Linked DNA regions of Arabidopsis thaliana. The protein of the gene in region 1 purifies or fractionates together with the protein of each later gene. This does not show direct contact. Each region holds a gene or a part of one and is shown on either strand. Other genes may lie near its edges.

Evidence for each region.
Region 2: the proteins of EM1 (region 1) and AT1G22290 purify together in Arabidopsis thaliana (affinity purification with western blotting, with the first as the bait; one study listed by BioGRID). This does not show direct contact.

What each region holds. Positions count from the first base shown.
Region 1 is NC_003074.8:19,207,987-19,223,173, reverse strand, and holds EM1 (Stress induced protein), read right to left. Parts: upstream 8,453-15,187; 5' UTR 8,357-8,452; coding exon 8,239-8,356; intron 8,054-8,238; coding exon 7,713-8,053; 3' UTR 7,343-7,712; downstream 1-7,342. Other genes in the region: SAC8 (SAC domain-containing protein 8), read right to left, coding at 1-37, 187-285, 507-571, 745-822, 904-990, 1,340-1,446, 1,526-1,606, 1,745-1,778 and 6 more; G4 (UbiA prenyltransferase family protein), read left to right, coding at 4,240-4,390, 4,472-4,516, 4,600-4,685, 4,870-4,957, 5,040-5,125, 5,214-5,300, 5,374-5,439, 5,514-5,597 and 6 more; ATG2 (metallopeptidase M24 family protein), read left to right, coding at 9,606-9,699, 9,809-9,893, 9,989-10,138, 10,231-10,384, 10,871-11,086, 11,172-11,308, 11,395-11,486, 11,548-11,748 and 1 more; G1 (transmembrane protein G1P-related 1), read left to right, coding at 12,511-13,281; BAG4 (BCL-2-associated athanogene 4), read left to right, coding at 14,996-15,187. UniProt on the Arabidopsis thaliana protein: It is thought to provide protection for the cytoplasm during the desiccation stage of embryo development.
Region 2 is NC_003070.9:7,871,853-7,887,591, reverse strand, and holds AT1G22290 (14-3-3 family protein), read left to right. Parts: upstream 1-9,629; 5' UTR 9,630-9,676; coding exon 9,677-9,743; intron 9,744-9,820; coding exon 9,821-10,139; intron 10,140-10,218; coding exon 10,219-10,285; intron 10,286-10,392; coding exon 10,393-10,469; intron 10,470-10,565; coding exon 10,566-10,618; coding exon of another isoform or gene 10,619-10,626; intron 10,627-10,694; coding exon 10,695-10,762; 3' UTR 10,763-10,952; downstream 10,953-15,739. Other genes in the region: AT1G22330 (RNA-binding (RRM/RBD/RNP motifs) family protein), read right to left, coding at 23-140, 518-641, 714-899; MBD8 (methyl-CPG-binding domain 8), read left to right, coding at 3,948-5,056, 5,413-5,878; GRF10 (general regulatory factor 10), read left to right, coding at 6,489-6,555, 6,908-7,214, 7,422-7,509, 7,617-7,726, 7,808-7,956, 8,305-8,342, 8,441-8,446; PAPP2C (phytochrome-associated protein phosphatase type 2C), read right to left, coding at 12,096-12,233, 12,337-12,491, 12,585-12,861, 12,932-13,189, 13,321-13,356; ZYP1b (Myosin heavy chain-related protein), read right to left, coding at 15,526-15,627.

The DNA.
Region 1 (15,187 bases):
TTCTAGGATGTTCTCGTCTGCGTCTACAAGGAAATATCTGCTCAGCCTGGATTAGTCGCAGGTGAAATAAAATTCTCTATATAGCAGCGCTAGCTAAATTAAACCAAACGAACAACCTCTGACTGCTAACCATATCAACTCAGTTTCTAGATCTGAAATGAGTAGAACCAAAACCGTAATTCTTACCCTTGCTTTTCAAATTCATCCCCAATCTGCTCATACAGTACCCCCAGGTTGTCGAAGTTTGTAGTTCCACAGACTTGATGGAAGTCAAAGGAGACATATCTGAGTCATAAACTATCATTAATTTGATGTGTACGATCGAGGAACAATTTGAATCAAGAGAAGGTAAAAGATATCCAAACAAACGACAAAATGTTCAAGTGTCACGAAATAGCAAAAATTCACAGTGTACGCTAAGAGGTATCCCGAACGATAACCAAATACAGAAATGATAAGACTGACGGGTAGAAGGTAAATGCGTCGATGTGCATACAGATTTTTACCTCACATCAGGAAGCTTCTCCATCTCGGTGGCATATGCTTTGCTTAATGCACCTTCATCTCCATGCTAATAAGTCACGTGTGAGAGACAAAGTTAATCATACAATGAAAGTAAGTAAGTGAAAATTCCAGAGCAGAAACTGTACTAGAGGTGGAGTTCAGATGTCATAGATTTCAAAGTGCACATATGTTTAGTGCCATTTAATTTTGTTTTCAGGAATGGGGAACAAAGAAATTAACCTGATCTGTTAGGTCAACTGCCATAATTTCTCCATATCTTTGGCAAAGATCATGGAAATGGCGCTGTACAACTTTTGGCTGGAGGCAGAAATTTAGCTTATTAAGATTGAGTGCTGGACATCATATAATTAATCTAGTAAGAAAATCATAAAAAGGTACCGTCTCTTCATGCTTATTTATCTTAAGCCGTGGCTTATAACTCAAATCAACGATCTGCTCCCAAAGAAGTGGGATTGAACCTCGAACCTAGTCAGTGAAAGCAAGACAGTTACAATCGCAAGAAATGAAAGGGAACCTTAAACACAGAGAAAGAGAAAAGCAAGGTATAATAAACTAAGTTGAGAGATGAAGAACCCAAATAATGAAACAGTGCATTTTCAAGCATATCAAATTTTTAAAAAAACAGTGTAACCATTCAGCTGAAATGAGTTACATAGGATATTAGTTTTCCAGGGCTATGAAAGAAACCCCACACAGCATTTCATATCATCAATAAATATAATTCCACAGCTACTGCAAATAAACCAGTATCGAAGCATGAAACTATCATTTTAAGAAGACACTGCACATGAATGAGATCCTAACAAGGATATACCTGCAATAATGAGAACTTGAAACCATTAATCTCCACTATTTGTTCAGATTCGACAAAATTAGCAGCGTCCCCTTCAAGATTGGCTCCTCTTCTCCACATACGTGTACCTGGGATGCCAATTCCAATAAGACTGTCAAACAAACATGGATGCCACTGAATTTTCTGGCAGAACTAATTAAACCCTACCTAGACGTCGTGTACAGCGCCTGGACATTATCGATACCACAGCAGGAGAATTCTTGAGCTTTAGCTCAGCAACTTGGTAACTTAAGCCTTGGTTAATATCAAACAACATGTATTGGAGTACTGTCTATTAAAAAGCATATTTGAAAAACGCAACATTACATCTATAAACAGTCCAAGAACAAGCTAAACAGAAGATTAAGAAGATAAAGAAAAGGATATTTCCTTGAAGTATAGGAATAATAAAACCATCCAGCTGCCACAATAAGAGAAGGTTAGATCATTAACGTTTGACAAGGAATGAAAATCAATTAAATTTAAACCACACAACTTACTTTGCATTCAATTAAGTCCTCCAAAAGATGCCAGTTCCAAACATATCGAGGGTCAGCCTGACAAGCAAATAAACCTTCAGCCTAACTTTAACGCGATGAACTTAAATTCAGACACTGGATCCAAAGAAGATACTTTTTTTAAAGATAAAAAATCATACGAATAAACAACCTGCTTCCACATAGGCTTACGATTCCAACCTTCAGCTAGCTTGCACCTTCTTTGAAGACTGTAAAATTGGATGAATGTATCTAACTCAAGCCGCGGAACTACTTAAAACTCTTAATATCATGAGATAGTGAAACTTACTTCAATGTTAGATCTGTTTCATACGAAAAATACAATCCAGGGGTTGTCTCAAGTGCTTGTAACAGAGTCCTAAAATATGTTTCGTCCTTTTTCTGCAAAAGCCAGTGACCAAGTTCTTTAGACAACTTAACTTGTTCATAAACTCCAAAACCCCTACAAAATCGTATATCGATTGAAATTCACAATAACCTTACTTCTTGAGCAGTAGCAAACCTCAAAGCCTCATTGCAAGGTAAGAATTTCATAGCCGTAACTCTAAAAATCGGTAAACCGAGAAAATTTCCAACTTCCTCCCGAGACGTTATAACTAGCAAGTATGTTCCTATATATGAATGAAATCGAAACCAGCATATAAAAATCACTGTTGGATCCCAACACAGTACATAGAGAAATGTTGAAAAACATTTTCCACCTGCTAAGAGCCTAATAGTTCCTCCTACGCCATAGATAGTAGAGACTCTAGTAGGACTCCCAGAAGATGCGTTTTCTGCAGTAACAAAGAAACAGTAACATCAAATACACTACAACAGCCTAATACTCTTGCTTCATATCATCTCTTGCCAAATTTTGTCTTGAAACCAAAACAGGGAAGGGAGAGAGCTGAGAATGAAGAGTGGATTACCATCAAGAGGTTTGATATTGCCATCGCGCCGATTGACGGAGAAGCCTTCCTCAGGCGATTCGATGGGTTTGACGACGTACTTGTCAGGAAACTCCAGAAGCTCGAATTGATCGTAGAGCTTGAATCTACTTGTAGATGGAGCAATCTCCATTAACGTAAATTATGAGATTTCAAATAAATTTTTCAAAATAGGAAAAATAATTTGAAGGATGATGATGATGATGATGCTGTTGGAGTTTGTTCAATTAAGAACTGGATCAGGAGAAACAAAAAAAAATGTCAATGATTGTTCATTATTTTTCTTCAAAGTTGACTGTTGCCACGTGTCTCTCAACCGGATACTAGTGGGCTTCTTTGGGCCTGAAATTTAAACTGTGCCCAATAGTCTTTCGTCCGGACAAATTGTTACAGTAGTTAAATCAAAGGCCACCAAAACTGTTACGTAGACATTTAAAGCGAATCTCCATCACCTACCGACTCTTCCTTGATTTGATTGTTCCACATGTAGTAAAAATAGAGACTTGAAGGTAATTTTGCCTTGAGGGAACATGAAGAGACTGAAGGTTGATATTTTTATTAGAAAGTTAAAAAAATTATTTCAGTTAATATTATATTTATAGGATATATATTAAAAGATATATCACGGGCTTATATTTTTATCAAATACATGAATTTTTTGTTTTTAAGATATCAACTACAACTAGATGTATCATAATCCCCTTGTTAGATTTATTATTCTTTTTGTCTTAATATCTTATAATAGTTAATAGTCATTAATAAAGAAGTAATAGCTTTCATTGAAGTGAGTCTACTCTAAATAGGATTTCCACAGTAGGAAAACTAGACATCAGGAAATCTATTCAATCAAGACGACTTATGTAGTAGAGTAATCCCCGAAGGTATTGAGCAACTATAGATATATGTTATTGATTATTTAATGTATGATACAATTCGGGATGATTTTATAATTAAAAGATTTGAAATTTGAAATTATATTTATTTTGTTAATATTGTTAGTTTTGGTTAGCTTTTAAAATTGTGTATTTGTATTTTTATTGTTAAATTTTATGATTTCACCCGGTATATATCATCCCATATTAATATTAGATTTATTTTTTGGGCTTTATTTGGGTTTTCGATTTAAACTGGGCCCATTCTGCTTCAATGAAACCCTAATGGGTTTTGTTTGGGCTTTGGATTTAAACCGGGCCCATTCTGCTTCAATGAAGGTCCTTTGTCCAACAAAACTAACATCCGACACAACTAGTATTGCCAAGAGGATCGTGCCACATGGCAGTTATTGAATCAAAGGCCGCCAAAACTGTAACGTAGACATTACTTATCTCCGGTAACGGACAACCACTCGTTTCCCGAAACAGCAACTCACAGACTCACACCACTCCAGTCTCCGGCTTAACTACCACCAGAGACGATTCTCTCTTCCGTCGGTTCTATGACTTCGATTCTCAACACTGTCTCCACCATCCACTCTTCCAGAGTTACCTCCGTCGATCGAGTCGGAGTCCTCTCTCTTCGGAATTCGGATTCCGTTGAGTTCACTCGCCGGCGTTCTGGTTTCTCGACGTTGATCTACGAATCACCCGGTAGTTAGCATTCTGTTGGATAGATTGATGAATGTTTTCTTCGATTTTTTTTTTACTGATCTTGTTGTGGATCTCTCGTAGGGCGGAGATTTGTTGTGCGTGCGGCGGAGACTGATACTGATAAAGGTATGATTTTTTAGTTGTTTTTATTTTCTCTCTCTTCAAAATTCTCTTTTCAAACACTGTGGCGTTTGAATTTCCGACGGCAGTTAAATCTCAGACACCTGACAAGGCACCAGCCGGTGGTTCAAGCATTAACCAGCTTCTCGGTATCAAAGGAGCATCTCAAGAAACTGTAATTTTGTTCATCTCCTCAGAATCTTTTAAATTATCATATTTGTGGATAATGATGTGTTAGTTTAGGAATTTTCCTACTAAAGGTAATCTCTTTTGAGGACAAGTCTTGTTTTTAGCTTAGAAATGATGTGAAAATGTTGTTTGTTAGCTAAAAAGAGTTTGTTGTTATATTCTGTATTCAGAATAAATGGAAGATTCGTCTTCAGCTTACAAAACCAGTCACTTGGCCTCCACTGGTTTGGGGAGTCGTCTGTGGTGCTGCTGCTTCAGGTAATCATACGAACCTCTTTTGGATCATGCAATACTGTACAGAAAGTTTTTTCATTTTCCTTCCAATTGTTTCTTCTGGCAGGGAACTTTCATTGGACCCCAGAGGATGTTGCTAAGTCGATTCTTTGCATGATGATGTCTGGTCCTTGTCTTACTGGCTATACACAGGTCTGGTTTTACACAACAAAAAGCTGACTTGTTCTTATTCTAGTGCATTTGCTTGGTGCTACAATAACCTAGACTTGTCGATTTCCAGACAATCAACGACTGGTATGATAGAGATATCGACGCAATTAATGAGCCATATCGTCCAATTCCATCTGGAGCAATATCAGAGCCAGAGGTAACTGAGACAGAACATTGTGAGCTTTTATCTCTTTTGTGATTCTGATTTCTCCTTACTCCTTAAAATGCAGGTTATTACACAAGTCTGGGTGCTATTATTGGGAGGTCTTGGTATTGCTGGAATATTAGATGTGTGGGTAAGTTGGCCCTTCTGACATTAACTAGTACAGTTAAAGGGCACATCAGATTTGCTAAAATCTTCCCTTATCAGGCAGGGCATACCACTCCCACTGTCTTCTATCTTGCTTTGGGAGGATCATTGCTATCTTATATATACTCTGCTCCACCTCTTAAGGTAAGTTTTATTCCTAACTTCCACTCTCTAGTGATAAGACACTCCATCCAAGTTTTGGAGTTTTGAATATCGATATCTGAACTGATCTCATTGCAGCTAAAACAAAATGGATGGGTTGGAAATTTTGCACTTGGAGCAAGCTATATTAGTTTGCCATGGTAAGATATCTCGTGTATCAATAATATATGGCGTTGTTCTCATCTCATTGATTTGTTTCTTGCTCACTTGACTGATAGGTGGGCTGGCCAAGCATTGTTTGGCACTCTTACGCCAGATGTTGTTGTTCTAACACTCTTGTACAGCATAGCTGGGGTACTCTTTTGGCAAACCTTTTATGTTGCTTTTTTCGTTATCTGTTGTAATATGCTCTTGCTTCATGTTGTACCTTTGTGATAATGCAGTTAGGAATAGCCATTGTTAACGACTTCAAAAGTGTTGAAGGAGATAGAGCATTAGGACTTCAGTCTCTCCCAGTAGCTTTTGGCACCGAAACTGCAAAATGGATATGCGTTGGTGCTATAGACATTACTCAGCTTTCTGTTGCCGGTATGTACTATCCACTGTTTTTGTGCAGCTGTGGCTTCTATTTCTTTTCCTTGATCTTATCAACTGGATATTCACCAATGGTAAAGCACAAATTAATGAAGCTGAATCAACAAAGGCAAAACATAAAAGTACATTCTAATGAAATGAGCTAATGAAGAGGAGGCATCTACTTTTATGTTTCATTAGTGTGATTGATGGATTTTCATTTCATGCTTCTAAAACAAGTATTTTCAACAGTGTCATGAAATAACAGAACTTATATCTTCATTTGTACTTTTACTAGTGGATGAGTTACACAATCATTGTTATAGAACCAAATCAAAGGTAGAGATCATCATTAGTATATGTCTATTTTGGTTGCAGGATATCTATTAGCATCTGGGAAACCTTATTATGCGTTGGCGTTGGTTGCTTTGATCATTCCTCAGATTGTGTTCCAGGTAAAGACGTTAACAGTCTCACATTATAATTAATCAAATTCTTGTCACTCGTCTGATTGCTACACTCGCTTCTATAAACTGCAGTTTAAATACTTTCTCAAGGACCCTGTCAAATACGACGTCAAGTACCAGGTAAGTCAACTTAGTACACATGTTTGTGTTCTTTTGAAATATCTTTGAGAGGTCTCTTAATCAGAAGTTGCTTGAAACACTCATCTTGATTACAGGCAAGCGCGCAGCCATTCTTGGTGCTCGGAATATTTGTAACGGCATTAGCATCGCAACACTGAAAAAGGCGTATTTTGATGGGGTTTTGTCGAAAGCAGAGGTGTTGACACATCAAATGTGGGCAAGTGATGGCATCAACTAGTTTAAAAGATTTTGTAAAATGTATGTACCGTTATTACTAGAAACAACTCCTGTTGTATCAATTTAGCAAAACGGCTGAGAAATTGTAATTGATGTTACCGTATTTGCGCTCCATTTTTGCATTTCCTGCTCATATCGAGGATTGGGGTTTATGTTAGTTCTGTCACTTCTCTGCTTTCAGAATGTTTTTGTTTTCTGTAGTGGATTTTAACTATTTTCATCACTTTTTGTATTGATTCTAAACATGTATCCACATAAAAACAGTAATATACAAAAATGATACTTCCTCAAACTTTTTATAATCTAAATCTAACAACTAGCTAGTAACCCAACTAACTTCATACAATTAATTTGAGAAACTACAAAGACTAGACTATACATATGTTATTTAACAACTTGAAACTGTGTTATTACTACCTGATTTTTTTCTATTCTACAGCCATTTGATATGCTGCAATCTTAACATATCAAGTCTCACGTTGTTGGACACAACATACTATCACAAGTAAGACACGAAGTAAAACCAACCGGCAACCGCATTACATAACATAACCGCATACCATTTGAACGGTACAACACTGCCGTTAGTACAAGCCATACATAGTTATATCACACACATATAAAACACAAAAAACCTAAACGCGCTACATTAGACCCTAGTTAAAATCCACGCTGCCAAACACGGAACCTACAAGCAGGTTACTTATTAGATGATATATAACAGACTGTTGCAGCGGACACTAGTAGCTCGTAACTACTATCACTTGTTGGTGAACTTTGACTCATCGATCTCAATCCCTTCTTCCTCCGCACGCTCTCCACCAGATTTTTCCATCGTACTGAGTCCTCCTTTACGTCCCATCTCCTTATAACCCTCGTGCCCTAGCTGCTCCTTCCTCGCCTCTCCTCCTTTGTGTCCCATCTCCTGATAACCCTCGTGCCCTAGCTGCTCCTTCCTCGCCTCTCCACCTTTGTGACCCATCTCCTGATAACCCTCGTGCCCTAACTGCTCCTTCCTCGCCTCTCCACCTTTGTGACCGATCTCCTGATAACCTTCATGTCCTAGCTGCTCCTTCCTCGTCTGCCCTCCCTTGCTCCTTCCTAACAAGTGTACATACATGCATTCCATGAAACATGGAGATCATAGAGTAAACTTTAGGTTCGTAATAAGTAGATTAATCTTATCTTAAGATATTAAGATCTAATGTTTCTAGCCTTATAAAACCATTACTTACGAACTAAAGAAAATAAAAAGAGTGTGGAAAAGTTGTAATTTACGGCAATACCTTCAGCAAGATGCTCTTGAGCTTCGAGGCTGTGGCCACCGGTGCCACCTGGGACGACGGTCTCTCCTTGCTTCGCCTTCTCATCAAGCTCTTCTCTGCTCAGTTGCTTTGACGCCATTTTTTGAAGAAAAAAACACGAACGATATGTAATTAAGTAAGTTGCTTTTAATTTGGATCTATGTTCCGACACAGATACGGACGACGTAATTATTCCTATAAATAGAAACGTTTGTGTTCCAAAGGAAACAAAAGGAGAGAAAAAGTGAAGTGCTACGTGGAAGAGAAGACGCGGCGAGACTAGAAATAATGGGCTTTACGGAGATGACACGTTGATGCTTACTCAGTCAACTTGCTACAGTTATTAACGAGCTGCTTGACACGACTCCGATTAATCTTAATCCATTTTCTGTTTCCCCCAAGAAATCAAGATAATTACCCACATTTGGGATTTTTTATAAAACTGTTTTCCGTGTTAGGTCTTTTCAATATCAGTTAGATAGTACTATTATTTATCTATTTGAAATCTAAGTGCAATATTTCGGATAAATATGTTTTAAAGTTAAAAGTTTTATATTTATTCACATCATAAGAAAAATATAGGTGTTATTAGAAGAAGAGATTTATAAATCGATCACACATAATAACTGGGAAGAGAAGGTAGCTTCGAGGATTAGTTGGTTTACTTGTCGACAAAGTCATATCTACCATGTAATAATTAGGTCTTTTTCAAGTTTTGAGTTTGGAGACATTTATTTGAGTTTGACTTTGGTCTTATTATATGCTTGGGCTATTGTACACGTTTGACTCATGCTGATTAGAGTATGTATAGTTAAATATAATAATTAAAATGTTAGAATCTGGTGTGGATTAGACTTTCGCGACATTGTTGAAAATTTGTGAATGCATCTATCTAAAAGTTGGTTTAGTGGAGTTTCTATGTGCACAACTGAAGTACATCACTATATTTGGACAATATTGAATTATATTTGAATTTATTGTCTTGAAGAATAATTTGCAACATTACATACCAAATGTTGGCTCTCTTACGGAGAGCGTATAAGCGCCACTTGACGTGGGCTTATATGGGCCCGGTTAAGGGTAAATGTTTAGTGGCCACAATTCTGAAACAGCTTCCCTTCTTCGGCCCATACTGGAGTACAAAAGTAACGCAATTAAGAAAAAGCGTTACAGGATTAATCCAAAACGGCATCGTTAGAAGAAGAGAGCACACATAGCGAAAACCCTAGTACCTTTATTTGAGCCAACACTTTCATTTCTCTCCTTCTCCACCAGTTTTCCCCCAATCGCTCCTCCTTAAACCCTAACATTTTTGCTTCCCCTGTTTCGATTCTCGAGAGTTATCAGAGATGAGTTCGGACGATGAGAGAGACGAGAAGGAGCTGAGTCTTACCTCTCCTGAAGTCGTCACCAAGTACAAGAGCGCCGCTGAGATCGTTAACAGTAATACACCCTCTCTTTCTTCCTTTCTTGTTTTAAGTCCGATTTGGATTTAGGGTTTTGAAGGTGTAGCTTTATCGAGTATTGATTTCTGTTGGGTTTTCAATTGCAGAGGCGTTACAGGTTGTTTTAGCTGAATGCAAACCAAAAGCTAAGATTGTTGATATCTGTGAGAAAGGAGACTCTTTTATTAAAGAGTGAGTATATCTCAATTTGTTCTTAATGTAGATTCGACCTTGGATTACTCTTAGATATTTATGTGTTTGTTCTTTCTTCTGTTTTTGTATTAAAGGCAAACAGCAAGCATGTACAAGAATTCTAAGAAGAAGATTGAGAGAGGTGTTGCGTTCCCTACATGCATTTCTGTGAACAACACTGTTGGTCATTTTTCACCGCTTGCTAGTGATGAGTCTGTGTTGGAAGATGGTGACATGGTTAAAATGTAAGTTGTCTTCAAGTAATACCTGTTTTTAGATGTTTCTGTATGATTCACCTGTGTTATTTCTGATGTTGTTTTGCGTTTCTCAATTGCAGCGATATGGGATGTCATATTGATGGGTTCATTGCCCTTGTTGGTCACACACATGTTCTTCAAGAAGGGCCTCTTAGTGGGCGTAAGGCTGATGTTATCGCTGCCGCAAATACTGCAGCTGATGTTGCTCTAAGGCTCGTACGTCCTGGAAAAAAGGTATCATCAGTTTTACTCTTACATTAAACTTGAAACTATAGGCTTTTGGTACTATAACTGCCTCTTGAATGATTGTCAAGGTTTTACAAAACCCAGATGATGAACACTTAATAAATGGCTATGGATTATTATCCATATGATGCTTTTTTGTCATAGTTACTCTGATGGGATTTTTCTTATTCTGATTTTTAGTCTGATCCCTCGTTGGATTTACTATGAGATGTTGGAACTTTGTCTAAGGTTTTCCTCTCTTGGTCTTGCACGATGCTTTTTTTTTTTAGCGGACTTCAAATGTAAATTGTTTTGGGAAAAGATTTCTGGATGAAGACCGTAATTGTTATGGATTCGCATCCAAATGAGGCCGTAGTTACTCTGATGTGGGAAAGTTCTTTAAAATAAAGTTTCTTGCTACGAGTTTGTAGTTTCTTGTTTAGTACTACAACATATTGCAATCAAGACATTGATATTCTGTTTTTCTTATCGCAGAACACTGATGTAACTGAAGCTATTCAGAAGGTAGCTGCAGCTTATGACTGCAAAATTGTTGAAGGTGTTCTTTCCCACCAGCTGAAACAGCATGTGATAGATGGAAACAAGGTTGTGCTTAGTGTATCCAGCCCTGAAACAACTGTTGACGAAGTGGAATTTGAAGAGAATGAAGTCTATGCAATAGATATTGTGGCAAGTACTGGTGATGGCAAGGTAATTTCTTTTGTTTATCGCATCCCGATCACTATTGGTGAACCTTTGTCTATTGCCATTGTTCTCACAATCTTTGACTTTGCAGCCAAAGCTATTAGACGAGAAGCAAACAACTATTTACAAGAAAGATGAAAGTGTTAACTATCAGTTGAAGATGAAGGCCTCCAGATTCATAATCAGCGAAATTAAACAGAACTTCCCCCGTATGCCATTCACTGCAAGGTGTCTTTTGTACCTTCTGAAGCATTTTATATTCCTTAAACTATTATCTCACTTGCTAACGTTACCTGAGAGTATTATCAATACAGGTCACTGGAGGAGAAAAGGGCACGGCTTGGACTTGTGGAGTGTGTGAACCATGGTCATTTGCAACCATATCCTGTTCTTTACGAGAAGCCTGGTAAGGATGATGAAAGGGTTTTGAATCTATAAACCTCTTTTATCTGAATCTTGATATCAAGGCTCATGTCGTTTTGGTTTTCTACCAGGGGATTTTGTTGCTCAGATTAAGTTCACAGTTTTGCTGATGCCAAATGGATCAGATAGGATCACTTCACATACACTTCAGGAACTTCCTAAAAAGACCATCGAAGACCCTGAGATCAAAGGGTGGTTAGCTTTGGGCATCAAGAAGAAGAAAGGTGGTGGAAAGAAGAAGAAAGGTAAGAACTTAAAATAAATTTCCAGACTTTTACCTTATATGACGTGATCCACATGTTGATTAAAAAGGTTCAATTTGGTGTTTTGCAGCCCAAAAGGCGGGAGAGAAAGGAGAGGCTTCAACAGAGGCTGAGCCAATGGACGCAAGTAGTAATGCTCAAGAATGAGTAGGAAGATTTGTCTTTGTTTCTTTTAAAGAATTTTTGAAACTTGAGGTACCTCTTTCGTTGTATGTTTGGGTTTCAAGAGAGTCTCTTCTTAAACAAAAAAAAACAAACAATAGTTTACCACCTTTGTGCATATTTTTGCACAAAGCACTTTTCATCATCATTTCTTTGCTTGTCCTAATCTTATCTCATTCTCTAATCAAAAATACTTATCTGGTTTCAGGCTATAACAATAACTCTGTTTAGAAACACTTGTTACCAACAAACTACTCTTTGAATGTGTTTACGTGGTAAGGATTTGATCCCACAGAAGAGAAATATTTGTGACAGAAGAAAAAAACTCAGCTCTTCAATAATCGAAGCTTATACAGATTTTTGGATTGGTTGATTTTGAGATTGTAACGAATAGTAATCAGAATTTCACTTAAGAAATTGTGATTGAACCCTCTAAACCACAGAGAGGGTTCTTGACGTGGTCCATAGTTCTTCAGTGGGGCGGCTTGTGGCTTCTTTTTCATTTTTCCAGAAAACCCCATAAACCTCTCGCTCTCGGGAATTTGATTGATTCCCACGAGGAAAAATCAATCTTCCCGGAAAATGGCAGCTAGGTTATTGTTCCGTCGAAGTTCTCAAATCCTCCGATCAATTCAACGAAATCCTCAAATCTCATCGTCATTCGAATCACCACCTTGCCCGATTTTTCACTCATTGACCACCGCCTCACCAGATCCATCGCGATTATCATCCTTAACCTTCCTCCGATCTCTCTCCATCGCTCGTCGCGGTCCAACACGTCCTAAGAAAATCGATATCGGAGCCAAAGCGCGTCAGATGCAGAATCGCCGTTTATGGACCTACGCGCTAACCTTCAGCTGCATCGCCGGATTCGTAGTTATCGTCCTTAACCAATTTCAGGATCAGCTTGTCTTCTACCTAACGCCATCAGACGCTATGGAGAAATTCGCAGAGAATCCAACAAAGAACAAATTCAGACTCGGTGGTTTGGTTCTAGAAGGTAGCGTTGCGCAGCCGGCGGCGTCACAGGAGATGGAGTTTGTGATCACTGATCTGATCACTGATATTTTGGTTAGGTATAAAGGATCTTTGCCGGATCTGTTTAGGGAAGGTCATTCAGTTGTGGTTGAAGGATTCATTAAGCCGTATACAGATGAAGTAAGGAAGGAAGTTTCTACAAAACCTATTTCGAAGAAAGCTAGGAACCTCGATTGTTTCTTCTCGGCGACTGAAGTTTTGGCTAAGCATGATGAGAAGTATATGCCACAGGAAGTTGCGGCGGCGATTGAGAAGAATAAGAAAATTATTGAAGCGGCGGCGACTGAACAAGCTGCTGAAGTTGCGGCTTCTTAGATTGGTATAAACTTCATTCTTTTTAAGTTAATCAAAATTTTCCCCAAGTTCGAGCTTTTGGTGAGTATTGTTCATCTTATAAGGTTATATTTGATTATAGTTTCTGGAAAAGAGTAGGAAGATTGGAATGTTATATTCCTGGAAAACAGAGATTTGATTTTTGAGTCTATTTGAGAATTAAGTGGAGAAATGTGATACACTATACAATAGCTTTGTTTGATTCCACAAAGCTATAAGCTAATCTACTTTCTTGTTGTGTTGATCAAATAAAGAACACTTTGACGAGGGATCAAATATGCTGCTTGATTCATTGTGTTGTTGGATGTTTTGTTTGTTGTTGATGTGCACACAGATTAGAGAAGCTATGTTTTGTTGCTGCACACAGATTAGATTGATCTAGTGAATCTTATTAGCTTCATCAGGTCGTGGGTATATAATTGTAAACGTATCACCAAAGTTGTAGCTTGTGTGACCTTATTCTTATCATGACTAGGTACTATAGCCAAAAGAGTTGAACATACAGGTCTTTCAGAGCTTCCTCTTAGTTGTTCTGGAGGTTCCAAGCTCTTTCTTTGTTGTTTTATAAATATGGGTTGAGCTTGTTGACAATCTTGAAGATGGTCATGCATTCCTTTTATGCATCTTATGTTTCAACTAGGCAATTCTGGCCCTGGAGATTTCAAGTTTGTACTTTCTGAGTCGATTAGGTGCCTAGTTTTTGCCTCTAGAATCATGGCATTGGCTTCTGTTTTGGCACTTCTCTTAGGCTTGTTGGTTGATAACCAACTACTAGTCTACTAATGTAGCTGTAGTTTGAAGTGTTCCGCAGTTACGCTATTGCTTTTGCTTTTTTTAAGTGCATCTTTATATATGCATCAGTCTCTCATTGTATAGCAAATTTATCGTGGGTGGTATATGATTCAGTCAACAAAAACTGACTATCAAGTATGGAACGAGTGGTATATGATTGAGTCATCAAAAATACTGACTATCAAGTATGGAACAAGAGCATTACGATATTTGTCACTACTATATTCGATTGCTATTGTGTGCTTGGTCCATTTTGAATATGGGACAAATCACCATTACTATACTTGCTGCCCTATACTAACTAGATTATTCCATATTCCTCGTAGATAGTTTTTGTTTTTTGGTTCAGAGAAAGTTCAGATTTTAGGCCTATAAGTTCTTTTGGTTGGGGACCATATCAAGTTAAATCTCTCACTATATGCATTGTGGCGGTTCGGCCGACCTGTCTAAAATTGGGCTTGTTCAAATCCTGCCTCAAATCCTGCCAAAGCGTGAGTTATATACATATACATTGACACTGAATCATTCCATCCAGGGCCGGTTGGCTGGATCCAAAATCAGTCGTTACCTATTTTTGGCAATCTTAAACTTATTGATTTTTTTTTTCTGACGTTTCACAAATCATCATCATATGTGAAAAACCAAAACATCTATATTAAGAAGAAAAAAAATATTGTTACAATTTCTGAAAATATTTGGTTCATTTAGTCCTTAAAAATTCTAATTACCAAAAAAGACAAATATATAACAATTGAAACACATGTGTGTTATCAGGAGAATTTGTATGTTTTGAGGAGGTGTGCATCATCCGTCTATCAATACCCTGACAAGGAAAACCCTAATTTTTTTTGGCCCAAAGGGTTTTATACTTTAATCTCATACTCCGATTCATTGTCGAAAAACGATGATGCATAATTCAACCGAAGAATCGGAATGGGAGGTGAGACCTGGTGGTATGCTCGTCCAACGAAGAGACGACGCCGCTTCCTCCGACCACAAACCTCTCCAGGATCCCGACTCTGCTTCCGCCGCTTTTGCTCAAACCATCAGAATCACTGTTTCTCATGGCTCATCGCACCACGATCTTCATATTTCT
Region 2 (15,739 bases), on another chromosome or scaffold:
CTCTTTAAATCATTCAGCGTACCCGTATGACGGATACATGAGCTGGGCAGCCGCAGCCTGCTGCACCGGAGCAGCCATTCCGGTATAGCTTGATTGTCCTCCGCCTTGATACTGACTAGGGCTTCCTCCTTGTCCTCGTCCTATGCCATCAAAAAGTAAATAAAAAGTTTTTCTATTGAATTTAAACGATTACATAAAATTATTACATTGCTATATAACATTCTTGAACAATGTAGCATTTTTCCTTGTATATGTATCGTAGAAATTCATTAAAAATTATGACGATAGAAAAATTGGCGTATAATATCTCCAATTAAAGACAAAAGGTTATCTTTTGATAACATTACGTTTTGAAAACAAAAATAAAAATGTTCTTCATCATCGTATTAGTTTTTCATCATTTTCTCAAAACAATGTATGGATTAGTCCCATCAAACAATTCAGCCAAGAAAAGTAAGTAGATCAATGATATCATTAAAGTTCACATTTCAAAGAAATATGGATTGAGTTAACGAACCTCGAGGCGTCGATGGTCGGGGCCGTCCAAAAGACGCAATATTGCAATTTGCCTTTCGTCCATCGATCACCGGATTCGGATCAGCGACGGCTCTCGTCGCTGAATCCGAGTCTCGAAACGTGACCTGGACCACGGAGATGATGACGTGTCAAACCTTGAGAATCCTTAAAATGGTGGGGAAGATAAAAGAACTTACAAAACCGTAGCCTTTAGATTTTCCGGTAGCCTTATCGGTAATGATGACGGCTTCAAGAATCTCTCCGAACTGATCAAAGTAACGGCGCATTTCATCGGTGGGAGTCTCCCATGCTAAACCTCCTACAAACACTTTGGTGTGAGTCGTGTCTCCGAACGGTGATCGGTAATAGCTTGTATTAGACATATATTATAAACTGTTTGTTGATTTGTTGATGATGATGGTTGTGATGATATACACCGATAAAAAAAATGGTTTGAATAAAATTTAATGAATGAATATATGAAAATGGGGTCTGTCTAATTAAAACATGAGCCAAGAAAGAAAAGAAGAAAAGATTGTAAATGAGGGAAAGTTAGCTTCTTTATATCGTCAAATGCCAAAGAAACGACTTTTTCATTTTCCTCTCTTTATATTTTTTGGTTGCAAATTGGAACTCTTAAACGATGCCGTATTTTGCCTCTGACCCTACTCTTAGAGATGGATAGAGAGAGACTTGGTAAGTTAATGTAAGAAGGAATTAGATTTTCTTTGGGGTTTTGTAAGAAGAGTGACAAGGCAAGCACTGAGTATGTCTTCGCTGGCTATAACTTGCCAGGTTTTAACATTATAGCTCTTCCACAACTTTTCTTTTTTTCCTCCATTAAAATACCTTCTTTAATGTTTTCTAATAATATAGTGATTATGGCAGATTATCCGTAAAGTCAAGGTATTATTCCGAGTTGAAACAGAGTTTTACTAATCACGCAATTAAGTTGTTTGGAATCAGGATTTTTTTACTTCACAATTTTAAAGTCAACGATAAATATATATTTAAAAAGAGTTAGATCAGAAACCCTATTTGACATATAGCGTTGCCATGCAATCTCGACATAACTATTTTTTATTTATTAACTAAATTTTCTTAATAATTCGTAGCCAAATGTAAAGTAAGTATGTAATGTGAATCAAAGATAAGAATTAGATAATACTAGTAATGATGTTTATGCTAATCAGATTTCAAATTCCTTTTGTGATTTTAGTGGAATTCCATTGTTATATCCACCAAAGCCATAAAAAGTACATAACTGGTGAAAAGATAGTTTTGTAGTTTGAGTATATATATATCGATCCCTGTAGAGATTTCTCATCCCCCATTTAGAAAATTGACTATTTAATATTAGACTAAAAAAGACGGCAATATATAGATATATACATATGACTATGAGTAGCTATAAAATATTAATATAAATCCATATCCAATTGTTTTTATTAGTACCAAGCGTAAAATTAAATTGAGAGTTTTATATGAATAGAGTACATACAGTTTTGATCGTTTTGATGTGATTGTATAATTATGTCCATTAATATTCGAGTAGTGAATTAGTTATGAGTTCTGACATGAAGTTAGAGACGACGTTTTAATCACAACATGCTTCTTGCTTCATTATTTGATTCTGTGTCAAAAACATTCTTCTTGCTTATGATTAGTTAGTTTTATTTATCAATTTATCAAAAAAAAAAAGACTATAACTCGCTAAAACTTATCAGATACACTATTTTCTGATAATAATGATTTTTTTTAGGGAGATAACAAAAGAAAAATACATATACATGCGTTCACATACGTTCATATGTAAATATAGTTATAAAAAAAAAAGTTAAATAAGGCTATAGACATGTATATGTAAATGTAGTTGTAAAGGGTTATCTAATTATATGAATTAAAGTGGAGGGCAAAAGAATTGAGAAGATCACATGAAATGAGCAGAGAAACCAGCTTTAACATAGTCCCCCGCACGCATGCAGCCACCCAATAACGACCATCCCCTCTTTTTATCTAATGAAAACATTAAACCCCACCATCATCATCTATTTCACTCCCATATGCCTTTAACATTTCAGCAATATCGGTGTAGTTGACCAAAAAAAGTGATTAGTAAGTTACGTTTTCATTGGTCTACTAGAAAACTGGTTTTGTTAAACGTAATGTGAATCATGTACATATAAAATTGCTGAATATTTAAGAGAAGTTTACATGAAAATGCTTTGGTAGATGACAACTTTTTTCAGTGAGCCAATACAGATATTTTGTTAAAGAGAGAAAAGGTTGGGCCAAATTTGCCAGCATGGCTAAAGAGGAGACAACTGGAGTTGGAGTTTAAAGAAGAAACAGAAGAGAATCCGTGAACTGGCAGATCCCTCCACGTGTATCTCTCCTTCTGTCATTCTTCATTTCTTCCCTCTCCATTATCTATTCTTATTTTAGCTGTCTCTCTTAACACAAAAACTAATTTGGTCATTCATTAGAAAGCTCACATGTAACATTTTCAATCTTCTGAAAACTTCAGCATTTTGACATGGTAACATAAAGATGATCAAAGTAATTTTGAACTACTAGTGTTATGTAGTATTACAAGTTATTAATTCAGCTTGTATTCCAAAGGGGTGGTGGCGCAGTTGGCTAGCGCGTAGGTCTCATAGCTACTGAGTGATCCTGAGGTCGAGAGTTCGAGCCTCTCTCACCCCATTACTCTTTTTCCTTTTTTCATAAAACCCATGCTAGGCTCAGTTTCAATAGCTTTTTATTACCTGGAAGCCCACATACATTCGTAATACGTTATTGATGCGTTAGCGTTACAAAGGCCGAATCACCTTTTTATTCAGTTGGTCAAGAACAAAAGTTTTTTGACCCATTATAGGCCCATTTACTATTTCTATCTAGTATCTACAATCATCCACACGGTTTCTTATTTGGCGATTGCACTGATCATGTTCTAGATTACATGCAATTATATATGTTCATACTTGTGAATACCAAAGTTTCGGTTAAATTTCACGTGCTTTACTCAGTTACTTTTTTAACCGGCAAGATTACATTAATCTTGCAAATCAAATCAGAATTCGACATTCATGAGAGGGATTTATTTCTTAGTCAAACAAAAGAGGAGTTTTTTTTTTTTTTTTTTTTCATTCCAGAAAAGAATCAAATATCAACATTTTAAAGATAGTAATTTCTTGATGACAAAAAAAAAAAAAAATAGTAATTTCTTTATAAAAAAACTACAAATATGAGCTCAATTCAATTAAATCAATTGGTATAACCGGTTTAATTGAAAATTGTACAAAACCGAACCGAAAAGCTAAGAGCGAGTCTAAGCGAGAGAGCAAAAGAGAAGGCACTGGAAGTTATCGGAATTTGCATCTTTTTGATTCCGCCGTTTTGCGTCTGACGTGTTCACGGCGGCAACCTCCATGGACGACGGTGACCTCGGTAACAACCACCATAACTTCCTCGGTGGAGCTGGTAATCGTTTATCAGCCGAATCTTTGCCGTTAATCGATACGCGTCTTTTGTCCCAGTCAGAACTTCGCGCTCTCTCTCAGTGTTCTTCTCTATCTCCATCTTCTTCAGCGTCTCTCGCCGCTTCCGCCGGTGGAGACGACGATTTGACACCAAAGATCGATCGCTCCGTTTTCAATGAGTCCGCTGGTAGCCGGAAACAGACATTTCTCCGTCTCCGCCTTGCGCGCCACCCTCAACCACCGGAGGAACCTCCTTCGCCGCAACGTCAGAGAGACGATTCTTCCCGTGAAGAACAAACGCAAGTCGCGTCGCTTCTCAGATCTCTGTTCAATGTCGATTCGAATCAGAGTAAAGAGGAAGAAGACGAAGGAGAGGAAGAGCTCGAAGATAACGAAGGTCAGATCCATTATAACAGCTATGTTTATCAGAGACCTAATCTTGATTCGATTCAGAACGTTCTGATTCAGGGAACCTCCGGGAATAAAATAAAGAGGAAGCGTGGACGGCCGAGGAAGATTCGGAACCCTAGCGAAGAGAATGAGGTTTTGGATTTAACTGGTGAAGCATCTACGTATGTGTTTGTAGATAAAACTAGTAGCAATTTGGGAATGGTGAGTAGAGTTGGTAGTTCAGGAATCTCCCTGGATTCAAATTCAGTGAAGAGAAAGAGAGGTCGTCCTCCAAAGAATAAGGAAGAGATAATGAACCTAGAGAAGAGAGACAGTGCAATTGTGAATATTTCTGCGTTTGATAAGGAAGAGTTAGTAGTGAACTTGGAGAACAGAGAAGGTACAATTGTGGATCTCTCTGCATTGGCTAGTGTTTCAGAGGATCCATACGAAGAGGAGCTGAGGAGGATCACCGTTGGGTTGAAGACAAAGGAAGAGATCTTAGGTTTCTTGGAACAATTGAATGGTGAATGGGTGAATATAGGGAAGAAGAAGAAAGTTGTGAATGCTTGTGATTATGGAGGATACTTGCCTAGAGGATGGAGACTTATGCTCTACATCAAAAGGAAAGGTAGCAATTTGTTGCTGGCTTGTCGCAGATACATAAGGTATAATAATGTTTATGTTCTTCACTGGTTCTGTTTCTAGTTGGATTATAAAATAGACCTAGTATTGGCTGTGGAATTGGTTATAGCAAAACTAACACTTTGTTACTATTGAAGATATAGTTTTATAGGATTTGGTATATGATGTTTTAGTTTCTGCTGCTAGACTTTTGATTGTCCCTCTTGTTTGTTTCTCCATCTTCTTGAACATGATAAAAGATGTTTACATGAATTAAGGGCTGCTACTGAAATTGCTTATAGTTCGTTTGTGTACTCTCTGCCGTTCTAGGATTCTAGCTGTTGTTATCACTTTTAGTTCAGGATTCTGAAAATTTTCTCTTTTGTTTTTGATTATATAGCCCTGATGGGCAACAGTTTGAAACCTGCAAGGAAGTCTCCACATATCTACGATCACTTCTTGAATCCCCAAGCAAGAACCAACATTATTACTTGCAATCTGACAACAAGACTCTAGGACAACAACCAGTGATAGCTAACGAATCTTTACTAGGTAACTCTGATTCCATGGACTCTGAGACAATGCAGTACCTTGAGAGTGGAAGAACCAGCAGTGAGGTGTTTGAGGAAGCAAAAGCCGTAGAGAATGGCAATGAAGCAGATCGAGTGAAAACCAGTCTGATGCAGAAAGATGATAATGCAGATTTTCTGAATGGAGTTGAGGACAACGACGATGATATGAAGAAAAGAGATGGTAACATGGAGAATTTGGCGACTCTATCGAATTCAGAAATGACGAAAAGCCTACCGACAACGACTAATGAGCTTCAACAGTATTTCAGCTCACAAATCAACCGAGTTCAGTGACCATTTCTTTTACCTGGAACAAATTGTTTTCTCATTCTAGTTCAGATTTTATATTTTATGCAAACTAAAAGCGTGTTGTAGCTAACTACAGGATATAGAATTTGAAAGGGCCATGTACAAAACATTTGACAGAAACCAAATTTTTTCTTCAAAAGAAAATTTCTTTGAGTTTCAATCTGTGATTGATTTGGATTTGGATTTGGATTGGCATAAAAAAAATCTATGATTTGGATTGTGTTATATAATATAGAAAAGAACACAAACCCTTAAAATAATGGACAAGAGGACATGTCTTTCTCCGTTTATCACGGTCAGCGTCGTTAACCTTTTACGTTATTGACTAGATCGGGGTTTAATAAGAAACATATATTAGTTTTAGGTTCTTTCTGTGTAAAAACTAAACCTTTGTGGCTACTTTATAATTTATAAAACTTATGTTTCTGAGTTTTGTTGACTAAAAAAAGTAGATCCAACGGCTGATATAATACCACTATGAGAGGATCCTAGGGTTACTACTAATCTCGAAATCAATCAAATCAAAGCATCCATTTTTGATTCAGACTTCAGAGAGACAGAGAAGGAAGAAGAAGAAGAAGAAGAAGAAAAAACTATGGAGAATGAGAGGGAAAAGCAGGTTTACTTGGCTAAGCTCTCCGAGCAAACCGAAAGATACGATGGTATTTTCCGATTTCTGGATCTCTATTCAGAAAATGATTTGTTCATGTTTCTGAAAAAATCCGATCTTTTATTGCTCCGATCGAAATTGTTTTTACATTTCCATAGATTTTCTTTGTAGCCCTTTACCGATTTGTATGTTTCTGGGCTGTTACTTGATCTGGACTTTTAGATGCGACCTTTAAGTAATTTCTTGTTTAATGTTGTTTAGATACTCTGATCACTCTTGATCTTATCTTGATATAATTTTATACTTACTGTTGTCGAATCTCTTAGCATGAAAATGAAATAGATCTACGTTTTTGGAAGCAAATTCAAAGATCGGATATTTTTTTTTTGTTGGTGATGATGCAGAAATGGTGGAGGCGATGAAGAAAGTTGCTCAGCTTGATGTGGAGCTAACTGTGGAAGAGAGGAATCTTGTATCTGTAGGGTACAAGAATGTGATTGGTGCAAGGAGAGCATCATGGAGAATACTATCTTCCATTGAGCAGAAGGAAGAGTCCAAGGGAAATGATGAAAATGTCAAGAGGCTTAAGAATTATCGTAAGAGAGTTGAAGATGAGCTTGCTAAAGTTTGTAATGACATCTTGTCTGTCATTGATAAGCATCTCATTCCATCGTCTAACGCTGTGGAGTCAACTGTCTTTTTCTACAAAATGTGAGTGTCATCTTTATTATACTCTGACCATTCATGTGATATTTGTGTGACTAAGAATGAGATCATTTCCGTTTGACTAAAGTTAAATGTTTAAGTTATTACATAGCTACCACTCTTGCTTGTGTTCTTCCTGAAATGATGATGATTCATGAACTTTTCCTTGTTTCACTGTTTTGACTTTACGTGTTTTTTTTTCTTTCTATGTAGGAAAGGAGATTACTATCGCTATCTTGCGGAGTTCAGTTCTGGTGCTGAACGCAAGGAAGCTGCAGATCAGTCTCTTGAAGCATATAAGGTCCTTTGATCATGTTTATTTGTTTTCTTATTTTTGTGCCACCCCTCTTATATTTGAGCTGGGAATAACCTAAGACAAGTCTTGCTTTTTTCGTACTGGGAATGTAGGCTGCTGTTGCTGCTGCAGAGAATGGTTTGGCACCCACACATCCAGTTAGACTTGGCTTGGCGTTGAACTTTTCAGTTTTCTACTATGAGATCTTGAACTCTCCCGAAAGGTTTGTTTTTGTATTTTGGATTGAACATAATAGTGGAATCTGTGGTCATTTTCTGACACTATGAAACTATGTATTGTACAGCGCATGCCAATTGGCTAAGCAAGCATTCGATGATGCAATTGCTGAACTTGACAGCCTCAACGAGGAATCATACAAAGACAGCACTCTTATTATGCAGCTACTTAGAGACAATCTCACCTTGTGGACTTCAGACCTTAATGAGGAAGGAGGTATTCTTATTTTCTTTTGTTTCCCTATCTCATGATCAAATGGTTTCCTTAGAATCAAATGAGCTGTTAAGAGCGTTACCTTGGAGTAAAAATGTTGATGTTTGGGAACTCGTAACCATTAACCATCTGTCTATATTTGAATTAAACCGTCCTTTATGCATGTATTGCTATGTAGATCTTTCATTTTAGTTTTGAAAGCCTCAACAAAAAACATACCAATCTACCATCTCATAGTTATTGGATTCTAGCTAATCTTGTAAAAGTTATATGTTTGTAGCAGAAAACATTACTAGTTTCTTGTTTCTCTTCCAAAGCTTTTTCACTCACCTTTTTTTTTTCCCCTCTTAGATGAGAGAACCAAAGGTGCTGATGAGCCTCAAGATGAGGTATGAAAAGCCAGTTTTGTTATAAGTTAAGCTACTTACTGATTTTTCCATTTTGCATTGACAATTAGACCACTCATGGAATTACTGAATCATTGCAGAACTAAATCCTCTGTGAGAAGAGAAACGACTCTTGCTGCATCCTGAATCTTGAAGTGAAGACAGTAAGTGTCGTTGTTTGTTACTCGAATGTGTAATTTTTAATCTATGTCTTTCTTGATGGTGTTTTCCAGATTCTTGAACTTTTCACAACACAACACTGCGTTGCGTATCTTCAACCCTCTTATGATGTGGTTGAATTCTGTTTTACGCTTAGTTTGCTTCTTTTGTTGTTGAATTGAGCCAGCAGGCATGATTTGGGTTTTTGTTTATCAGAATATTAGGCGTATCATGGTCTCAAAATTAAAAACCAAAACAGACAAAGCTTTATTCGAAGTTTGTAATAACTAATAACTCCTTGCAAAAATCATGAAAGTCTGAATTCAAGAGGCTCTTAATAATTTGCATAAGTGATCCCAAACTTCACAACTTTTCAATTTGTGGATGTTTGCCCTCTTTGTGGCCAAGGAATCATCCTCAAGTGTGTTTCTCTACGGTGGTTTGGTCCGTAAGTGTGTGACATAATAATGGTTTGGTTCTCCCAACATGACCCTCAAAAAGGATCTCTATGCTCTAAATATGGGACTCTTGTAAGTTGTAATTGTAACCAAATGCTATCACAAACTCTCTAACTCGTACCAACACTCATTGTGTCTAATCCAATCGAGAGCCCTCAAAGTCTAAAACATGTTAATCAAACTGTGAACCAGTTAATCCTTATAGAATCAGATATCTTTTTGTCAACCATCTAAATAACATTTTTGTCACGAATTGACCACTTCCCTCGAGAGATTTTGTAGTGTTTTCTTTAATATTTTTATATGTCCAATGAATAATAATTTCATACATCTATCGAAAACTTCAATTTTGAGCTACAAATGATCAATTCAAGTATTCACTTGGCCCAACTTCTAAATTCTTTAGGTGAGTTGTTGCTAGCACAACAAATGCTACAACTGTCAAAAGCAAAGAGACAACACCTTCAAATATTAGGTTTGACTAATAAACAGAGGATCATGGTGACGATCTTTGCCAACTCTCACCAAATCAACCTGAAACCTTCAAAACAGATTTGATGCTATTGGATCCAGCGCCAATAGGACACTTGTCATTAGCTCATTTACTTTTCTATTCTTTAAAATGATGAGTGAAATCGAAAAGTCTTGAGCAAGAAATACAGATTACAGTTTCTTCTTCTCCAAGCATCTATTGTTTAAGAGAGAAAAAGAAGAAAAGCCATGGAGAATGAACAATCAACGCACGTTCACTTCGCGAGTCTCTCTTCGTCAAGCGAGCGCTACAATGGTACTTTTTTTCCAGAACAACTTCTTGAATCTTAACATGCCTTCACATTACTCAATACTCCAAATGTTTTGTTGCAGAAACATTTGAAGAGATAAAGAAAGCGATGAAGAAAAGTGTTCAGCTTAAAGCGGAGCTATCAGCAAAGGAGAGAAATCTTGTATCAGTGGGGTACAAGAATGTGATTAGCGCAAGGAGAGCTTCATTGGAAATACTATCATCCATTGTGCAAAAGGAAGAGTCAAAAGGAAATGAGGAAAATGTCAAGAAGCTTAAGAATTATCGAAACAAGGTTGAAGATGAGCTTGCCAAAATTTGTAATGACATCCTGTCCGTCATCAATAAGCAACTCATTCCATCGTCTACCACTGTGGACTCCTCTGTTCTTTTCTACAATATGTGAGCGAAAATGTGTTGTTGTGGTGCTTGAGGCGCAAAAGTGTTGCACTGTTTTGGCTATACTTTATGTTCTTTCCAGGCTGGCAGACTTCAGTTCTAATGCTGAAAGCAAGGAAGCTACTGATCAGTCTCTTGATGCATATAAGGTCCTTGGCTCATGTTTGTTTTTGTGCCTTGAGCTCGGAACAAAATAAACTGAACAATATGTTTTGTGTTTTGGTAATGGCAATGTTGGTTGTTGTTACTGCTGCAGAGACTGGTTTGGTACCAACAGTTCCAGCTATACATGACTTTGAATTGGACTTCTGTTTTCTTAAACTCTCCTGAAAGGTTCCTTTGCTTACATGCATACATATGATTATTTAATGAAATCGGTGTGGTGTTACTTACTAACAGTCTGAATCAGTGAAACTGTGTGTTGTACAGTGCATACCAATTGGCAAAGCAAGCGTTCGATGATGCAATTAATGAATTTGACAGTAAGTGATGAATCAAACAAGGACATGACTCTTATTATACAGCTACTCAGAGACAATCTCAACATGTGGACTTTAGACCTCACAGAAAGAGAGGAGGTAATCTTTTTATTTCCCTATCTGCCTCCTCTGATGATAGATAGATAGTTTCCTTTGGAATCAATATAAGCCATTTTTGTGAAATTTTGTTAGTTCTTGTACTGTTATGAGGAGCCTAAACTTTGATTCGAATGTTAATGCTTGGGAACATATTTACGGCTTTGTGGATCTTTCATTGCTTAAACGCCAAGTTGTTGAATTCAAGCAAATTTTGTTGCAAGAAACCAATTAGCATACTAGTTTCTTGTTCTCTTCCAAATCATACACTCAACTTTTTTTTTGTTTCCTCTTATCCAAAAGTGGTGATGAGCCCCAAGAAAAAGGTATGAAAAAGCCAGTTATGTCAAAATTTAAGCTACTTGAAGATTATATTTTTCATTTTGGCATTGCTAATGGAGTTACTATACCATTGCAGAACTGAATCTTGAATCCTATGCGAGAAAAGAAACGACTCTTGATGCATATCCTGAGTCAAGATGGGTTGGAATCTGTTTTACACTTAACTTGCTTCTCCTGTGTTGAAATTTCAGAATATAAGACACCATTTGGGGTTTTGTTTGTCGGAGTATACCTAAAGAATCATTGCTTGTCACCGACGTTTCTTCATTCTTTCTTTTTATAGCCAAATGAATACTATAATCCCATTGGAGCACTGAGGAAGAAAACTCGAGAATTGCTTGGTACATCTTCCTCTATAGCAGTTGCAAACAGTTCCACAAATAAAACACAATGAAAGTTTTTCAACGCCTAAGCTAAGTCTTTCAATAATGAAACCCTTTTCAGTGATAAATTTCTGCAACTATTTGCAACATCTCAATCTCTGAAAGACTTTGCTTAGAATTATAACAACAAAACACAACCAAATTGTAGTAAACTGATCCATCTTATTTTTAATCCTTCCAAGGATAATGACATTTACCAACAACAATGATAAGGATAACTTTTGCTTATTTTGTTTGGCAATGTAAATCTCTTACAAATAGCAAACACTTTGGTTAACATATATATATGCAAACCTAATCCAAAAGTACTTTCACATATTTGTAAAAACATCCTAATATTTATATCCCGATGATTAAATATAACAAATCAACCAATTATAATAACAAAACCCCCCATCACCCACCACAAAACTCCATTCCCCACTCCTTTTTTGTTCATTTTCTTATCGTCTTTAAAACACACAATTTACACAACGAACGCACATAAGCTATAGCAAGAAGCAGCTAATCACAAATTGAAACTTAGACCGGTCCTAAACCGAACCAGAATCATCAGAGTCGAATCCAGTGAAAACAAGCTTTTTTGTCCTGATGAATCTTTGATTGAAATTATTATATAAGGAACCCATCTCCCCGTAAGTATCCTTTCAGAGAGTTTGTCATCTGAATCGGACCACGACACAAGATATGTCGTCTTTACTCTCTCTTCTCAATGCTTCAGCTGTTAATTCCTTTGCCGCTTTCTGTGGATCTTTCACTCTTCTCGCTATCTCCATTGCCTCTTCATTTGTCATCACCTATTAACATGATCATTACAACAAAACAATCAGACAAAAATGGTCTCAAAACACTCATTTAACAAGAGATGAATAATATATACAGAGAACAAGCCATTATTACCTTCCAGATGCCATCACTAGCCAAGAGAAGAACATCTGTCTGGCTATCTACAGTAGCTTCTTTTATGTCAGGCTCTGAACTCAAGTGTGTCTTAAGTCCCTTATCTCCAAAAGCACGAGACACAGCTAATTGACCATTCACCCGAGGAACATCACCTGTTATTAAAACATCACAGCCACATCATCCTCCTTGTCAACAAAATCATTCTATCTTCATTAAACATTCAATACTCAAAATAAGTTCTTTACCTGGTAGATTGGATACAAATCCACCTCTATCTTCAATACTCGACCTTTCAGTACGAGGCTCATGATCTGTACTCATCTGCGTTATAGCGCCACCATGAGAAAGAACAGCTCGTGAATCACCAACATTAGCTATCCACAACTTTCTCCCATTAATCAATATAGCAGTCACAGCAGTAGAACCACCACGACCCAAGTCAGAACTATTCGATAGAATCGCTTGGTCCGTCTTCTCATAAGCTTTTGCAATAGACCTTCGAGGATCAACCCAAAACTCTCCCTGCATAAAAAAAACAATACACTTAAAGCTATGCACATGTTCATTAACCCAAGAACAGTAGAACAGTAACCTTTTTTTTTGTTTTTACCTCCTTAAGGATATTGGAGAAGAGACGTTTCTGCAAGTAAGCAGGGACACTATCACCCATATGACCATCATAAATAGCAAAAAGACCCAATTCATGGTCTTGGATGTTGATAAAGTTAGCAACATGATAATCTTCCATTGGATGGTTAGCTTTTCCTTTCACTAGACTAAAACCATACTTGATCATCCCTTCATCACTTCTTCCTTTACCTGATCGTGATGATGATTGTCCTCCCACAACCTAAAAACCCACACCAATAAGATCAATCAAAACACAAAGCTCTCAGATCTTTCACTTCTAAGACAAAATTATTTCATCTCATAACAAAAAAAAAGAAATTGTTATATAGCCAAAAATTCGATAATCATTACCTCAGAAGCGGAAGTGAAGCAACAAAATTTTCCCATTTTTTTTGAATCGAAGAAAATTTCTTCGATTTTTGCAACCTAATTGAAACTTGCGGAGATTTATTCAAATAAACAAAACAATCTGCAGAAAAAATAAATTCAGAAAGCGAAATTAAAATCTTCATTGAGCAGCTGGGAGATGATAAGAAAGAGGGGATTTTTACCTGGAAATTAAAAACCCTAATTTGGTTTTCAATTTTTTTTTGTTTGAGGTACTCTCAACGATAAATCTACAAAGTCTATGCGACGAAGTCTTCGCTCTCTTTTCGTTTATGTCTTTTTCCTACGCGAAATTATATATATATATATATATATTTTTATTCAGTTGAAAGAAAAATAAAAATTGAAAGCTATCTGTATTTTTTTAATATTGCATCAACGTCCTTCATATATATAAATATTTACTTTACGCCTCATATGAATGAATTTTAAATTGTGACTATAATAGATTTCGATTATTTAATTTGGGTAACAATAATTGCTTAACCTTTAAATTGTAGTTTTGTTTAGGTGATGAATTTGTAACATACATTTGCGTTGTATTAAAGTAAAATGAGGGTGTAGATATGACAATAGGAACTTTGGGATAAAAGTGAGAGGTTTTGGAATTTTGGGGGTGAAGGTTAAGATAAATTAGGGGAAGAAAAGGAGAGAGAGAAAGGGATGGAGCAAAAAGGAGTGATCTGGTCAAAGAAAATAAAAAAGCTGCCATTTAAAAATTTTAGTCTTGGCTATTTGGCATGTTGACTTCCTCTTCCTTTACATTTATGTCATCTCCTTAACAATCCCTATTTTATTTTTTTATATGCGTTTTTACTATTCAGACATGAAAAAATGTGCGAAACTATTTAGAAAATTCATATATATTTTATTCCTGATATACAAATATCCAGAAAAATAAAACACAATCCTTTGGTTTTTGATATTTATTAGGACGTATTCCGCAAGAGTTTTATTTAATATTACAAAATATAAAACATTTTTGCTTAGAGAGATTATTATGAGTAAGTAAAAAGTAAATGAATGTTTCGTTTTCACACAAATTAATGCATGAAATTAGCAGTTTCGTAGAAAAACATATCCATTTTGGATTTGATGGCATAACGATTGCGGTAATTTTTACATTTTCTTTATACAACTAAAAGTTCAAGAACAATTATGAAGTGCTTAATTGAGTAAAATATAAAATATCAGGTCTCTTCCCCATTACCAGAAATCTCAAAGTATCAACGAATGCGACAAGAAAGTGGAAAGGGTCAAAGGCTTCGACGCGTTTACTAGCCATCTTTTTGTTTCTCCATTTAATGTGATTCGCACACATTTCATGACTTTTTGACCCTTAATCTAGTTTATTTAATCAAACACACATCAATTTAGCTACCTTAGCTTCCTTATTTATACATACAATTTTGATTGCTAGCCTAAAACAAACGATTTGTTGCTTAAAATAATAAACTTGTTCGTCTAAACCTCCGTGATATGTTCCTCTAAATTAGGTTCATAGGCCCCTAGTCATGTACAGTAGAACATCATGTACTCATTTTCAATTGTGGGCCTTTTATGAGCCCATTTTCTTACTATGTAAAGTACTGGTACTGTATGTTAATGAGCCCAACAGCACAAGAATGTGAAACTAGATACAATGTATGAGTTTGTATATATATACAAATACTGATAGTTTTATTCTATGCTTATATGAATGGCTTCTGATCTACATGATTTGTACTGCTTTCCACTTTCTTCCTTGTGATTCTTCTCAGGTCTCAGAGAGCACTCCGCTTGGAATCAGTGTTCTGTGATGCCAATAATTCAACAGAAAACTGTTAACCTCAAGAGCAAATGAACCACTAATAACACCAACGTATACCAAATCTACAAATATAGAAACAGCTATAAAGATGACAAATAGATTTAACACTTTTGATTGATGCAAAGGTTTTATCAATGTTTTTTGAAGACAGCTACTGGATCAGAAACAGATTGCGGATTATTTCTCTTAACAACATTTACAAGTTTTTGAAACACTAGGATATAGTTATTCCACGTTATAAAAATGAGATAGTTGATGCAAGCAGCAAAATGTTTATGTAAATCGGTGAGCAAGCTTTCACAAATAGTATGTATCTGAAAGTGAGAGAGAGATAGGGAACTGACTTTGTGTGGTAGACTTCAATCAAATGCATAGGGATCATCAGCATATGGGTTGAGGGAACCTTCTGAAAACAAGTCTCCAATATTTGCAGAGTGAGGATGATCGGCCATTGCTGTTTCCTGCGCTTAAAAGACCAGAATAATATGCAGTTAAATCAGAAATGTTTTTAGAAACCTAGCATCATCCATAACTTCTTGGCCTGAAAACTTCTACATTATACTCGCATAGACA